Linked DNA regions of Mytilus edulis. The protein of the gene in region 1 purifies or fractionates together with the protein of each later gene. This does not show direct contact. Links are inferred from orthologs where the notes say so. Each region holds a gene or a part of one and is shown on either strand. Other genes may lie near its edges.

Region 1 (7,667 bases):
TAATTCTTGTTAGTAGAAAAATAGCGCAATCTAGTTCATCATGAATATTCTAAACTATGATTTTCTTTGATATAAATACATCAACAAAGTTGGAAAACCTAAATGAAATCTATATCAAAAGTTAATATCAGCAAGGTCTTCGAGGAGTGAGATAATGAGTGTTTATAACCTATTTCTATGCCCTTGACCGTCTGTATGTACGTACGTATGTCCAAAAATTGGTTTCTGTTCTCTAACTTGAGTTTGCCTCAACCAAATATTATGAAACTTATACACAATGCTAATAACCTCAAAACACAGATCAAGTATCAATTTTGGTGGCGTCACTTTCTCCGTTCTAGAGTTCTGCCCCTTTCTTTATAAATGGAAAAATTGCTTAATTTTTGGAAAGATTGGAACTTGTTCTAAATCTTTCCTTAGGCACTGGCCTTCCTAACAACACAACAGGTTAGCTACTATTACTGCATGTATTCACTCTGAAATATAGTTCCCTATAGTTCTCATGTATTTGCACATAATACACATATAAACTGTGAAAAATGGGTATATTTTTGGAGCAGTTCATTCAATAATGTATGTAATTAAGGTGTGTTGATGTGCAGGCTTGTTTTAAGCATTTTGATTAGGTAATTGAGTATTGATACAATACTAGTATGATTGACAACTGTCATTATCACCAAACAATCAGGGACAAGGTGAACCGTAAATTACAATGCCCCACCTAAACTGTCAATCAAATTGACCACATTACATCAGTGTTACAAAATTGTATAGGCCCAATAAACATCTCAATACACAAATGTATATATTAAATGTTTGATATATAAGGATGATAGATTTATTTATTGCCTATTACTTTTGATCTACATTACATAAAGTGATTCTGTAAATTATGTCTGAAAGATAAATGATTAATTAAGGATTAATTAAGGATTAACACGATCTTTAAAAAAAAATGAAATATAAATATAAATATGAATATATAAAAGGTATTCAAGTTAGGCCTTTAATTTACTTGATAAATTTCCAATAATCATCTGTAATAAATCAACAATTTAGGTTAGTTCACTTTTTTTTTTATCAGAAATTGGCTTGATGAACAGTTTTAAAATTTTAAAACTTTTATTTATAACAAACCATTTTTTAGCTCACCTGGCCCGAAGGGCCAAGTGAGCTTTTCCCATCACTTTGCGTCCGGCGTCCGTCGTCCTGCGTCCGTCGTCGTTAACTTTTACAAAAATCTTCTCCTCTGAAACTACTGGGCCAAATCAAACCAAACTTGGCCACAATCATCATTGGGGTATCTAGTTTAAAAAATGTGTGGCGTGACCCGGTCAACCAACCAAGATGGCCACCACGGCTAAAAATAGAACATAGGGGTAAAATGCAGTTTTTGGCTTATAACTCAAAAACCAAAGCATTTAGAGCAAATCTGACATGGGGTAAAAATGTTTATCAGGTCAAGATCTATCTGCCCTGAAATTTTCAGATGAATCGGTCAATCGGTTGTTGGGTTGCTGCCCCTGAATTGGTAATTTTGAAGAAATTTTGCTGTTTTTGGTTATTATCTTGAATATTATTATAGTTAAAGATAAACTGTAAACAGCAATAATGTTCAGCAAAGTAAGATCTACAAATAAGTCAACATGACCAAAATGGTCAGTTGACCCGTTTAGGAGTTATTGCCCTTTATAGTCAATTTTTAACCATTTTTCGTAAATTAAAGTAATCTTTTACAAAAATCTTCTCCTCTGAAACTACTTGGCCAAATTAATCCAAACTTGGCCACAATCATCTTTGGGGTATCTAGTTTAAAAAATGTGTGGCGTGACCTGGTCAACCTACCAAGATGGCCGCCACCGCTAAAAATAGAACATAGGGGTAAAATGCAGTTTTTGGCTTATAACTCAAAAACCAAAGCATTTTGAGGAAATCTGACTGGGGATAAAAATGTTTATCAGGTCAAGAACTATCTGCCCTGAAATTTTCAGATGAATCGGTCAATCGGTTGTTGGGTTGCTGCCCCTGATTTGGTAATTTTGAAGAAATTTTTCTGTTTTTGGTTATTATCTTGAATATTATTATAGTTAGAGATAAACTGTAAACAGCAATAATGTTCAGCAAAGTAAGATCTACAAATAAGTCATCATGACCTAAATGGTCAATTGACCCCTTAAGGAGTTATTGCCCTTTATAGTCAATTTTTAACAATTTTCATTAATTTGGTAAATTTATGTAAATTTTTACCAAATAAAGTTCTCTGTTACTAATGGGCAAAGTTCATGATAGATATAATTGTAAGAAGCAAAATCGTTCAGTAAAGTAAGAACTTCAAACACATCACCATCACCAAAATACAATTTTGTCATGAATCCATTTGTGTCCTTTGTTTAATATGCACATAGACCAAGGTGAGCGACACAGGCTCTTTAGAGCCTCTAGTTATTAATTTATTCCCCATCAATCATTATACATGTCTATTTTAGTCATTTGAATTTTTATAAGAAGTGGATATATATTTTTGCTATCAAGAAAAATCTGCATTTCAATAAAATAAGTTTTTTAATTTGTTTACTTTGAAAAACTACATTTTCAATGCCCTGTGCTGAATAAATACTTTATAAATTGATCAAAAGGCACTCTACAACTTTTAATCTTTTAAAAATGTCATATAACCTATGCGTCAACTTACAAAATGCCCCAAAATGAAATTATTAGATTATATTTGTTGACACTTTAAATTTCAGTTGTTGGTCCTTAAAACATGTAAAAAACAGGCAACATTATTTGGATAAGATATTAACTGCAGTTTCAATAAAATTGTGCAAATTTAGAGACCCATATTATTTTATTTGAGCTCATTTTATCTTCATACTGGAAAAGCACTTTTATTCCTGCTAGAACCCTGCTGTTAATGCAATTTTCAGCAATACTGTTTTATTAATGTTCTTTTGTCCCCACCATACCTTTATATGAAATTGTTCAAACTACTCTTCCAATCTTTCCACAGGTGTTATCTAGCACTTTGATTAGTTTCCATTCTCTAACTTAAGTTTGCCTCGACCAAATGTTATGAAACTTATGCACAATGCTCATTACCACAAAACTCAGATCAAGTTTGAATTTTTGTAGAGTCAGTTTAACCGTTCTAGAGTGATGCCCCTTTATGAATTAAAAATTTGCTTAATTTTTAGTTTCCGTTCTCTATTAAATTAAGGTTTGCCTTAACCAAATGTTATGAAACTTATACACAATGCTTATTACCACAAAACGCAGATCAAGTTAGAATTTGGTAGCATCACTCAAATGGTTCAAGAGTTTTGCTCCTTTAAAAGTGGAAAATTGCAAAATTTTGAGTTTCCGTTCTCGAACTTTAAGTTTGCCTCAACCAAATATTATCAAACTTGTACACAAATAAGTTGGGTCACTATAACCATTATTGAATTATGCCCTTTATAAATGGAAAAAAATGCAAAATGTTTAGTTTCTGTTCTCTAACAAGTTGCCTCAAGCAAATGTTATGAAACTTGTACACAATGCTTATAACCACATAAACCTAAGTTTGCCTCAGCAAAACATTATGAAACCTATACACACTACTTATTACCACAAAACTCAGATCAAGTGCAATATGGGTCACTTTTATTGTTCCTGATTTATATCCCTTTATAATGTTGTATGCAAGCTGGGGCATTTATTAAAGAAGTTAAGCTACTGGGAAATTGATATATGGAAAATTGCAGTGAAAACCATTGCTTTTAGGATATTTAATTAAAAAAAATTAGGTTACCTCCTCCCCCCAAAAAAAGATAACTAAAATAATTGGGCGGTTTACCAGTCTAGCATGAACATCATGCCACAAAATGAACTCCAGTATAGAAGGCAATATTATATTGGGATAGGAAATGTGATTTATCTTATTTTCAAGATGGCAGAACTGGCTATTCTATATAATATACAATGAACATTGTATCACACAACAGTATTATACAAAGTGCACATCATACCACAAAATGAACATTATATTACAGAGTAAACATCATACAACAAAGTGAACATCATGTCACAAAATGAACATACAAAGTGAACATCATGCCATAAAATGAACATTGTTTCACTTAATAAACATGTCACTAAATGAAGATCATGTCACAAAATGAATATTACATCACAAAATAAACATTTAATCTCAAAATGAACATCATACAACAAAATGAATGCAATGCCACAAAATGAACATTCAAAGTGAACATAACACAAAATGAACATTAAATAAAAAATGACCATATATATCACAAAATGAACAATATATCACAAAATGAACATCATTTCACAAATGAACATAATGCCTCCAAAATGAACATTTAAAAATAAAAAATAAACACTATACTATATACTATCCCATAGCGAGTGTGTCTTAACCCTTTGATTTTACAGACAAACAATTATAGTATTTGTCTCGATAAATCTGATCGGTGATGGGCGTGATGATGATGAGCCAGATTTTGCCGTACGCCGGATATACTGATTGTTACAAGTAAGTGTAGCCTCATTATTCACACGTTTCCGGTTTGATCACAACAAAACTGACATCTGACATGTATTTCGAAAAACCTCTGTAAATCACCACAGGACTCTGTCATTTGATAAAAAGTCAACAATTTTATAAAATGCCACCAAAGTTCGTCAGACAACATGACAATATGGATTCTAACCGAGCCAGAAGCGCTGAAACGGTATTGTACATATAGCATCATCCAAGTCCAAAATGACTTTTTTTTTATGTCTGTTGTCATCTATCAGAAGAAAATAAAGCACTTTTCACTGTTTAAAACATTTTGAGTGTTGCACTTCGCCCTTCAACATTAGAAAACAATCAATCATGCATAAGACGGTCATCAAAATAACAATGTGTGACAGATCAAATGCAAGAAACCAATGTCAGGCAATGAGCACATGCACATTGTTTGTTTATATTTTTGCATAAATCCTTGTCTTGCTTTTTTTAGATCACTTTTATGTGTACAGTTCTTGCCAGGTTGTCTAATCACCTTCAAAAATGAGCTAAAAAACATCAAACCATTCAATAGAAAAAAATTAAGGCCTAATTTATAACAAAACCATTGATCATGTTGATGAAAAAAAACCAAATATTACAGACAAGAACCAATGAAAACCACTGAACTGCAGGGTCCTGACTTGGGACAAGCACATACATTTGTCAATAATGTGGCAGGTTTATTTATGTACATTGTAAATAATCTTTAACATATGCTGTTTGGCAACAAGGGTTATGGTTATTTTTCGAAAAAAATAATTCTGATACCCAATATGAAATGTATGATGAAAAATAATTATCTGGCCAAGCAGATGACAAAAAAAGTATTCTGAATCCCCCATACCTTACAGTATTAAAAATTGAAAAAAATTATTCGATTGATAGCTTGGAAAAGCTAGAAAAATAATTTTGAGCTTTGTAGATAAAAAAAAAATAACACCTCCTCTCCCCACCAACCTGAAGTTAAATGGTTGCTTATTTAGTCCTTAGTATGGGGTTTTGTGGACTTTTTAAAGTTAACTTTGCACTTAGATCTTATTTAAGGAATTTCCAATGATGTAGCCATAAAAATATCATTTAAAGCTTAACATCTAAGTATAATGGCCACCTGTCACACACTAATGATTTAATCAATAATTTCTCCACCTGACTCCAATCTTACCAGGTTTACATTGAACATCTAGTTCTATATACATATGTATATGTTTCTTCTCTATCTGAGTAAATGTCTAAAAATAAAAATCATCTAAGAATTTTAAGATGATTGATTGCTGGTTGCTTTATGTACAGTAGCAAATATTTCATGCTTTTCAAGAAGAGGAGAGGAAGGATTTTAAGATTGTAGACTTATGATTTAGTAAGACAGAATCTGAAATTGATAAAAAATGTGCCAGTCTATTTAAGTCAGTTTGGGAGCACCTCATCAAATAAGGAAGCCTTTTAAACAGATAACAGCCATACAGCATGAACAAAGACTTATATATTTTTTGTATTTACCACCAATTAAGTTACTGAACTAGTGACTTACAAATTTTTCCAATTGTGTGAAATTTTTTTCCAATTGTATGACATATGTTCAAGAATCTTTCATTTCTGTGTTCTTTAATTTTTAAGGTAGTTTTTCTCTATTAGTTATCTTTCTTAATTAGCACCCTCTGTTTCTCTAGATCTATATTATTTATGTTTTTTGACAATTTTTCTGTAGATTTGGTCCATTATTCTCTATTCTGTAAACTCCATCCAGAACCTCATGTGTAGATAATTATATATTGGTTGTGGAAACAACATGACAAACACATTGCTTATAGATAATACACATGATACAGAAAGCAAAAAAAGAAAGTTGAAAATTGTCATAGCACTATTTACCAGTCAATTCTGCGAACAAAATAATGTAAAATTGTCGCCCAGCACTGAAATTAATTTAGTGAGAAAAAAAATCAAGGTGTAATGAAGTAAAATGATACATTTCTAGTATAACCTACTGTGGATTCAGTAATTTTCATGGCTGTAGTAAAATTTGCATTTTCATTGATATTTGATTCAATGTTTAGCCAAAGTCTACATACAGACCTATATAAAATTTGAACTTCGTAGGACTTCAAATTCCATTGTTTACTTAAACCCAAAAAATCAACAAAATTAATAAATAAAAGACAATATTTATTATCACAAACACATTTACATTAACTGGTTATGGCATACAGTATTGAGACAATAAACTAAATTAATATCCTATCAATAAAAATGAATCCACTGTATATTAAGGGGGGGGGGGGGTGTCTCATCACGATTCACAAGTTGATTTTTTTGTCAATCACGATTCACAGAAAATAAATTTCCATGATCACGGATCAAGAAAATATTAAAAAAAAAATGTGTAGAAAATCGCATCACGATAGCGAAAGTGTGCCGATCACGAAGAAGGAAAATAACCCATCAGACCCCTCACCAATTAGTAACCTGTGACAAAATTCTTACATATTTCAGCCTTATTAGACATATATATGGTTGAGTTACCTGATAATCCAACAGCTTGGTTTGTTGTCTTGTGTTTCTTCAAAGCAAGTCAGTCCTCATTTGGACCACACTTTTACTTTACTTCTACACAACATGTATATGTGTAATATATACCATTATTTATTTTGCAGAGAGCACTTCTTGATGGAAATTCAGATGAAGAAGATTTCTTCTTGAAGTGAGTTTTTTCCTGTAGCATTTACATGATGAGTAGCAATAGCGTAAAGTATAAAATATATTGCATAGCATTGCAATCTCTTCTGGGTTCCTTTTGCTAGTTTAACCCCTATTGCATCAAAGGTATAACCTCATCTTGTTAATAAAAACAAATGAGCAATTGTTGCTTATTATAGAATTACTGTAGTCCTATAGCATGTAAAGTAAGAAGTAAAAATAAACAAGCTTAGTTTAAAGTATTTGATAATTTATTTTCTTTATGTATCTCACTGGTAAATTCTAATGTCTCAAAATATTGTTATACATGCATGTATGTGCATTTTCATTCTGGGAAAATATAGAGAAAAAAATGTGTTTCCTAAATAATCATAGATTTTTTTTTTTAAATTATAATAAAATCTTGTTTATTAAC
Region 2 (7,596 bases), on another chromosome or scaffold:
ATGTAATTTATAGTTTATTAAGTGACAATCTTGTGTCAAATTAAGTTTCTTTAACATTCTCAGGTACACCCCCACCATTATGTCTAACATCAAATTCTGTATCCTCACCAGGTATTATTTACTGTTATTACCATCAATTGGAACTTACCAGATTCTTTGTTATATTATCTAAGTCATGTCTGTAGTTACGTATTCTGGATATTTGTTGAGATCTGTAAGAAATAGGAGCCATCTTTGCTTCACTTTCCATTTCCTGTAACTGAAATGTAATACCAAAAATATGGATTAAACTTTGGTTTTATCTTTTACTCTGATGATTTAATCCACACCCATCTGAAATTTTAGAATATTTGATTTTTAGAATTTTTTGTAATAATTTTAGAAAAAATACTTCAGTTTATTAAAAAAAACTAGAACAGCCGGTTCCATTGAGTGTGTAGGCAAAGGTAATATCTTTGGTTAGCATGCTTGCTAGTTGAACTGTGAAGTCATTATTAGGTAAGGTATACTACACTCCTTTTGAAGTAGCCTAGTCCTACAGACAGATAGATTGTTAATCTTTCAGACTAGTCTAATTTTAAAGGAGGGTAGTTTACCTGACCAAATAATGACTTCACTGTTCAGCTGGCAAGCAAGCTAACCAAACATATTGACTTTGCCTACACACTCAATGGAATCGGCTGTAACTATGTTAATTATCCTTTTAAAATCATATACTATTTGGCTCATTGTTAAATGCCGTACGGTGACCTATAGTTTTTAATTTCTGTGTCATTTTGGTCTCTTGTGGAGAGTTGTCTCATTGGCAATCATACCACATCTTCTTTTTTATATATTTTTTTTTCTTGACAACAAACTACGGCAATATTTTCTGCTGTTTACATAAACTTTGCACAATTAATTCATGTACTATGTATTCATTTATTTTGGTCAACATTTGTGTTTTTCATTCATAAATATTTTGATGAAAAAAATATTTGTAGACTGTAAACATCAACATATTTACAAGTTGAACATTGAACTTTTGCTTTCTATATATTCAGTTTATTGATGGTGGCAGCAAAATGGTAGATGAAGTATTCACTGTAAACAGGAAATTATTGACAAGATATTTTAACCAGTTTACACTTACAATGAAGTTTGCTTCTTCAATATTTCTTTCTGCATGGCGAATGGCTGTTTTTTTCTCCTCTGTCAAAAAATAAGAACATGAGAAAAATAAAAATAATTGTCAAAACTATATTTAATCAATACAATATATATATATGCTATTATGTACAGATCGATTGTTCCAAAACATAATATTTTCCCGATTCAAATGCCAAATGAAATTTTATAATGATGATAAAACTTTAAAAAAAATTCTGTTGGTCAAATAAGTAATATAAAAACTTAAGAATAAATTACAGAAAGTATGTGATATCAATATTTGAAAAATAAATATAATTTTACAATTTATATTATTAAACATAAATCCTTATCATAGACACCATAAAAGTACATGTAATTGAAATGTAATTCAAAAGTAATTGAGCATTACATGCTTTTTTCATTGTAATTAATTAAATTACCATTACAAGTAATTGAAAAAATGCTCAATTACACATTACCTTCAATTACATGGAAAATTGTAATGCATTACACTTAATTACCATTACATTTTCAATTACCCCATCCCTGGATAAAAGACCTTATTTTAATGAAATTGATTGTTTGCTTCTTTTAATCTTTCTACAGGTAAGATATTATAAATAGATTTAACAGTAACTTCATTATATTTACTGTAAATTGTAAGGTGCATTGTGGGACGAGATTGTTATACACCTTATCGCTATTTGTCCACCATTACTGAACATTACACAGGTTTCCGTAAAATTTTGATGTCATGAAATAAGTTATATGGTTTGTCGCACGCTGGACTTTTTCTGCTGCGTTTTGTAGAAAAATAAGCAATGAAACACATCAACATTAATAGATGAAGTCACCATTAACAGTAGACGTGACGTCACGAACCCCCTTTGAAATTTACTAACCCCCTACGGATCCATAGGCCTAAGGGGTCACCAGGTGACGGCGTTATACCAATCACAATGTGCTAATTTACCTGTGGTGCGATAATACAAAATATCTGATGCCACAATGGAGAAGTGATTGTTGTATGACTTCAACAGGTCAAGCGAGATAGATTCTCAGGTCAGTGGGGAATAGCACCTGTACATATGATTTTAAAAGAAAACACATTTTGGATGACACAACTTTAATTTTGACATATTCGTGTGATGAGTCAACTGACTCTTTACGGATTATCCATGTAGATGTAGCGATAAGGTGTATTGTCCCCATACATACGTGTAGTCTTGCATAATTTTATATTTATTTTTTCCCTAGAACAATTAGGTTGTGGAATTTCTTGCTACACCAAGTAGCAAAGACTTAGAAGCATTTAAATTTGGTGCAAAATCACAAATACATTGCTAGATCAAAATCATCTATAATATATAAATAAAATATTTAAAAAAAAAACAAAAAAAACTTCTTTTTTTTTATATGTAAATATGTTCAGATTTAAATACTACTACCCCCTAGTATGTGCCTTTTTGTAATCTTCAACATATTGAAGTTAAGAAGTATTATGTAGACCGTAGTCCGAGATTACTCTGACGTCCAACGGCTGTTTTGCCAGACAAGCTGGGGCCGTGGGACTTGTCTGGCAAAACAGCCGTTGGACGTCAGAGTAATCTCGGACTATGTAGACCTTTGACAGTTTTGTGAACCCAACTCTGACTCAGTCTCGGACTTTACAACATATCAGAATGCAGTGATGTCTGCATTTAGTAGTCTCAGATAGATATTAGGAAATTGTAAAACAATAAGTAATATATATTTACAACCTCCCTCAAAATTTGGGATTTTCCCTTCGACTCTGTCTCTTATGCTATCCAAAACACTTGACAAATCGTCCTCGAGTGACTCAAACTTTTCAGAAGACATTTTGACATGACAGTCATGTGATCATTCTAAATACTGAAAAAATTCGGGATGGATATAAATAAATTAACAAGTGTGGACACAGATCAGTGTGGATAGTATGTTTAGATGTTTGACAGTGTTTTCTGACAATAAGAGTTCTTTGTTCTTGCCACAAGATTCTTTATTAAAATATGTTGCATAATAACGGCCTACCTGTACCAGACACTAACCATTTAGCAGCGTCGTTTATTGGTTTTGGATAGCTAGGAGAGGAACACATTAGATACATTTCCACAAGAATTAAATTTTGTATAGTAAGATCCTTGATTTTCATAGGCAGATCCAGGTGCCAGGGGTTGGGAGGGGGGGGGGGGGGGGGGGGGGGGCTACTCGGCCCTTTCGAGTGGAAAATATGGTTGATTATACAGGGAATCACAAATCATGACTGACCGTGGGAAACTTTTATGGCTGTCAGTGGTACATGTATTTTATTTCGTTTGAAATAGGGTTTTTCCCGTTTGCTATTTGTAGTTAATATTTACAGATGGGAACTAGTATAACTAGTTCGGATACTGGTTTTGTAACAGTATGTACTATTTATATGTTTGATGTTAGGTGCAGGAGGCACGAGGAAAGTTTTGGCGGTTTTTATGGGTGGGGTTTAAAGGTACTATATAAAGTTTGGGATTTAAATGTATTAGTATCGAAGGTGCTCGCAGTTACGTCGGATTGAAGTTGGTCACATAGGTATATGTGCAGTTGCTGCTATGTTTATTGTACGTACAGGCGTTGGAGGCATTAGCCGGGGGAAAAGAAACGATGCGAAAGAGGAACAATGTTATATGTCATGTGTTTATATAATGTTTCGATTGAAGAAATATGTACAATTCAGTAAAATAAAATATTGTATCGCAAGAGAAAATAAGATGTTACTGCGAGCAACTAATCCTATATCTGTGTTTGTCTTGTTTATAGCCTATTGAATTAGAAATTAAATACTTTAAATTCGGACGAGCAGGGCGAGGGAGAATTTAACTTATAAAAAGTTCTGGATCCGCCACTGATTTCTGCATGATGTGATTTGGATATGGGAGATGGTATCTAAGAACATGCATGCATATACATTGTACTATTTGTAAGGTTCCACAATGTATTTATGTTCCTTTGTCCACAAAAACTGAAAATTAGTAAAGGATCTTCTCAGTATCATTAGAATTTAAAGACGAAATTGATTCAGAAGACATTTAATGGTTTTGAGTAATGACAATGCCTGACATGATGAAATGGGCTAAATGAGGTCGAAAGTAAACCTTAGTTCTTCCTTCGAAAATGTCTTCTTCAAAGCCTGGTCAAAGGAAATAAATGAGTTATTTAAATAAACAGGAATCCGCTTGTATTTAGGCTACGCTCATGAACAAAGTGCCGAGAATCATCTTGCAGTATTAGCTGGTAAAAAAATACAAAACGGTTGAATGCATATTAAAATAAAATGTACAGATATGAGCAGGATCTTGATGTGGTCCTTCCTTTTTTTAGTTCTTTAATTTTTCAGCCTTTTTTCTAAACTAAACTAAACTAAACTAAACTAAACTAAACTAAACTAAACTAAACTAGGACTAGGTCCATTACTTTGTAATTTGTCATTTTCAATTTTAACATAAGCAGAAAACTTAACATTGGAAATTGCTAATTAATCCAGTCACTTGACCATGACCTAGGGACAGCGCCTCAAAATAGTCGTCAAACTTCATACAAACTATCGATCTATCACATAGAGTTCGGAGACAGTTTGATAGGAAGTTCCATCAATGCAGGTAAAGCAACTTCTATGTCTAGCCTTCTGAGACTTTCGTCGCAGGCGAGACAAAAATGATTAAGCTCATTATAGAAAGACAAATCAACAGGGCTGAATGACGAATTAACCCATGGCCATTTTAAGTGATCTTTCTTTCATCGAGAAAACTATTAGGATAGATCTATAGACAAGTTTAATAAATAGCAAAGATTACCAGCATCTGAGACTACTATAACTGTGTTATAGTAGTCTCAGCCAGCATAAAGATTTTTGCCTAATTAATGAAATTTCAAAAAGATATATATAGAAACTTTACATAAAATTATCAATTAACAAGACCAGATTTACAAACTAGTCAAATTTTACTGAAATCGTAGCCTTTTTATAGGAGTGACAATGATTTAATGATGATTTTTCTTACTCTTTTTGTGAATTTGGCAATACAATAAAGAAGATAGAGAGAAACTGTAAACAGAAAATAAATTATCAGCACTACATCAACATAAACGAAGATTTTTGTCATGTGTTCTTTTCCAGTCTACAATGTGCATTGTTGAGGATGCATATAGAGCTGTGTGAGCAACCATAGGCCCTTGGAGCCTCTTAAGTTGTCTTTTTGTCCAAAACCATCAGACATTGTCTTCTTCAATCTTGCACCCTACAAATCTTTGCTAAAAGGTTAGCAATCTGTCTTTGTGCTTAGACTAAGGAATATTGATTGATTGTTGTTTGCTTTACGTCCAGTGACAAATATTTCATGATTTTCCAACGTTTAAAAAATACATAGATGCAATAGTTAGGTCATGCAATTGAGCTCCTGCAATAGAGTGGGTAAGGAAATTTGAGACTTCACTGAAAATGAACTGTATTGGATAGGGACAGAAATTTAGCCACAGGGTATAAAGAAGTCAATGATTAAAATCACCATCTTTAAACTATATAATGGAAAATGTAAACACTTTTCCCTTCTTTCTCTGGATTTGTTTGGGTGTAAAACATCTAATGAGGCAGTTGTGCCATGCTTCTGACAACACAAACCCTTGGAAGTAAGAAGACTTGCATATGTTTGACAAATTTTCTAACAGAATCTCGTGCAGTTTTATGACAACCTCACAATCTGTAAATACTGTTATTTTCTACAAGTTATAAAAAAGGTTTTGATGTTCTGTATTTATAGCATTTAATTGTTAACATAAGGGAAAGGAGTAACGGCAACCCTTCTCAGCTAGACCAATGACACAGTAATACAAATTGTGCCCATTTTAGGAATCATAGCATAATGGAACAACAATATGCATCCATAGGATACCATGCCTTTTATATACTATCTATTCTCTTTATCTAGTGATTCTGAAAATGTGAGTAAATATCATAATTTTGCATATATTCTATAAAAAGTAACATCACAATAAACATGTGTACTGAATTTGTGTGACCAAAACATCAAGACAGACCAGAAAGAATAATATTATGTCCCTCTACTTTCATAGATGAGACCTAAAAAAAATCTAAGGATTAGTTGATGCAGGCTTGAGTTTTGAGCTAAGATGTTTAACTAGATTATCCTTTCCCTTCCCCTTTTAAAATTCCTATTAGATTTATATTTTTGGAATTTTGATACCAAATGTGTGAAATATGGTTAAGAAAATCATATAATAGAACTAAGCTTTCTCATTGACATTTAAATCCTTATTGACAGCCCTTTATTTTAATTAATTGTTGTTGTTAGTGTTTAATGCCACTTTCAACATATTTGGCTATTTTGTGGTAGTCAGGTTTTATTGAAGGAAGCCAGAGTGCAAGAATGGAATTAAACGCACCTGCCACCAGGTAGGGTGGCAACTCACAACCTCAATGTTGACAGGCCAGTGATAAAGTTGTTGATGTACTTAAACCACTAATGAACTGAAGCCACTCATTCACTTTGACATTTGAATGTGCAGCCATATCATCTTGAAAATGGGATGTTTACACTGGTGCCTCACACATTACTGTGTCACCCTCACAACAGTTCTTACTCACACTTCTCATCATTCAAGTCAACAAAATTAAATAGATCTATCAAATGGATTCATTGATATTTTGATCTTGTCCTATATACACAAGACTTATTAAAACTGGAAAGTATCAGCAAATCACCAGCGTGTTGTATTAGCATTCTTGTATTCTTTTCATCTGCATTTAACATAAAATTCTTGAAATCTCCTGATAAACTTGCACCAGTTCTAAGTCAGAAACATGGAGTCGATTTCACCTAAAAACTTACAACTAAGATTTGTCTTAGGTCATGAACAAATCAGTATACTTACGATCAATCTTAGTCGTAAGTTTTTTTGTGAAATCAACTCCACATGTTCAGTGGCTGTCGTTTGTTGTGGTTCATAAGTGTTTCCTGTTTCTCTTTTTTTATATAGATTAGACCGTTGCTTTTCCTGTTTGAATGGTTTTACGCTGTCATTTTAGGGGCCCTTTACTGCTTTCTGTTTGGTTGAGACAAGGCTCTGTGTTGAAGACCATAGTTTGCCCTATAATGGTTTCTTTTTACAAGAGTGCACACGCTGAAATGTCTCGCCTTCTATACTAATCATTGATATTATGTTGATGGTCCTAAGTATAAAGCTAAGCTTTATTACAACTGTCACATGAACTTAACATTAACCAAGATAACTAAACAAAGACCAATGAACCTTGAAAAAGAGGTCCAGGTCAGATGAACCATGCCAGGCAGACAGGTACAGCTAACAATGCTTCTATACAACATATATAGTTGACACATTACTTATAGTTTAAGAAAAATAGACCAAAACAAAAAATTAACACTGTGCAATGAA

The links.
Region 2: the proteins of vesicle-associated membrane protein 4-like (region 1) and vesicle transport through interaction with t-SNAREs homolog 1B-like purify together in Homo sapiens (affinity purification with mass spectrometry; 4 studies listed by BioGRID and IntAct, counting the BioPlex papers as one, with this or other methods). This does not show direct contact. The link is inferred for Mytilus edulis from reciprocal best matches to the Homo sapiens genes VAMP4 and VTI1B.

The regions. Positions count from the first base shown.
Region 1 is NC_092345.1:21,932,306-21,939,972, forward strand, and holds the start of vesicle-associated membrane protein 4-like, read left to right. Parts: upstream 1-4,544; 5' UTR 4,545-4,670; coding exon 4,671-4,736; intron 4,737-7,209; coding exon 7,210-7,256; intron 7,257-7,667. UniProt on the Homo sapiens protein: Involved in the pathway that functions to remove an inhibitor (probably synaptotagmin-4) of calcium-triggered exocytosis during the maturation of secretory granules.
Region 2 is NC_092346.1:5,321,471-5,329,066, forward strand, and holds the start of vesicle transport through interaction with t-SNAREs homolog 1B-like, read right to left. Parts: upstream 3,028-7,596; 5' UTR 2,992-3,027; coding exon 2,892-2,991; intron 1,192-2,891; coding exon 1,133-1,191; intron 260-1,132; coding exon 149-259; intron 1-148. UniProt on the Homo sapiens protein: V-SNARE that mediates vesicle transport pathways through interactions with t-SNAREs on the target membrane. These interactions are proposed to mediate aspects of the specificity of vesicle trafficking and to promote fusion of the lipid bilayers.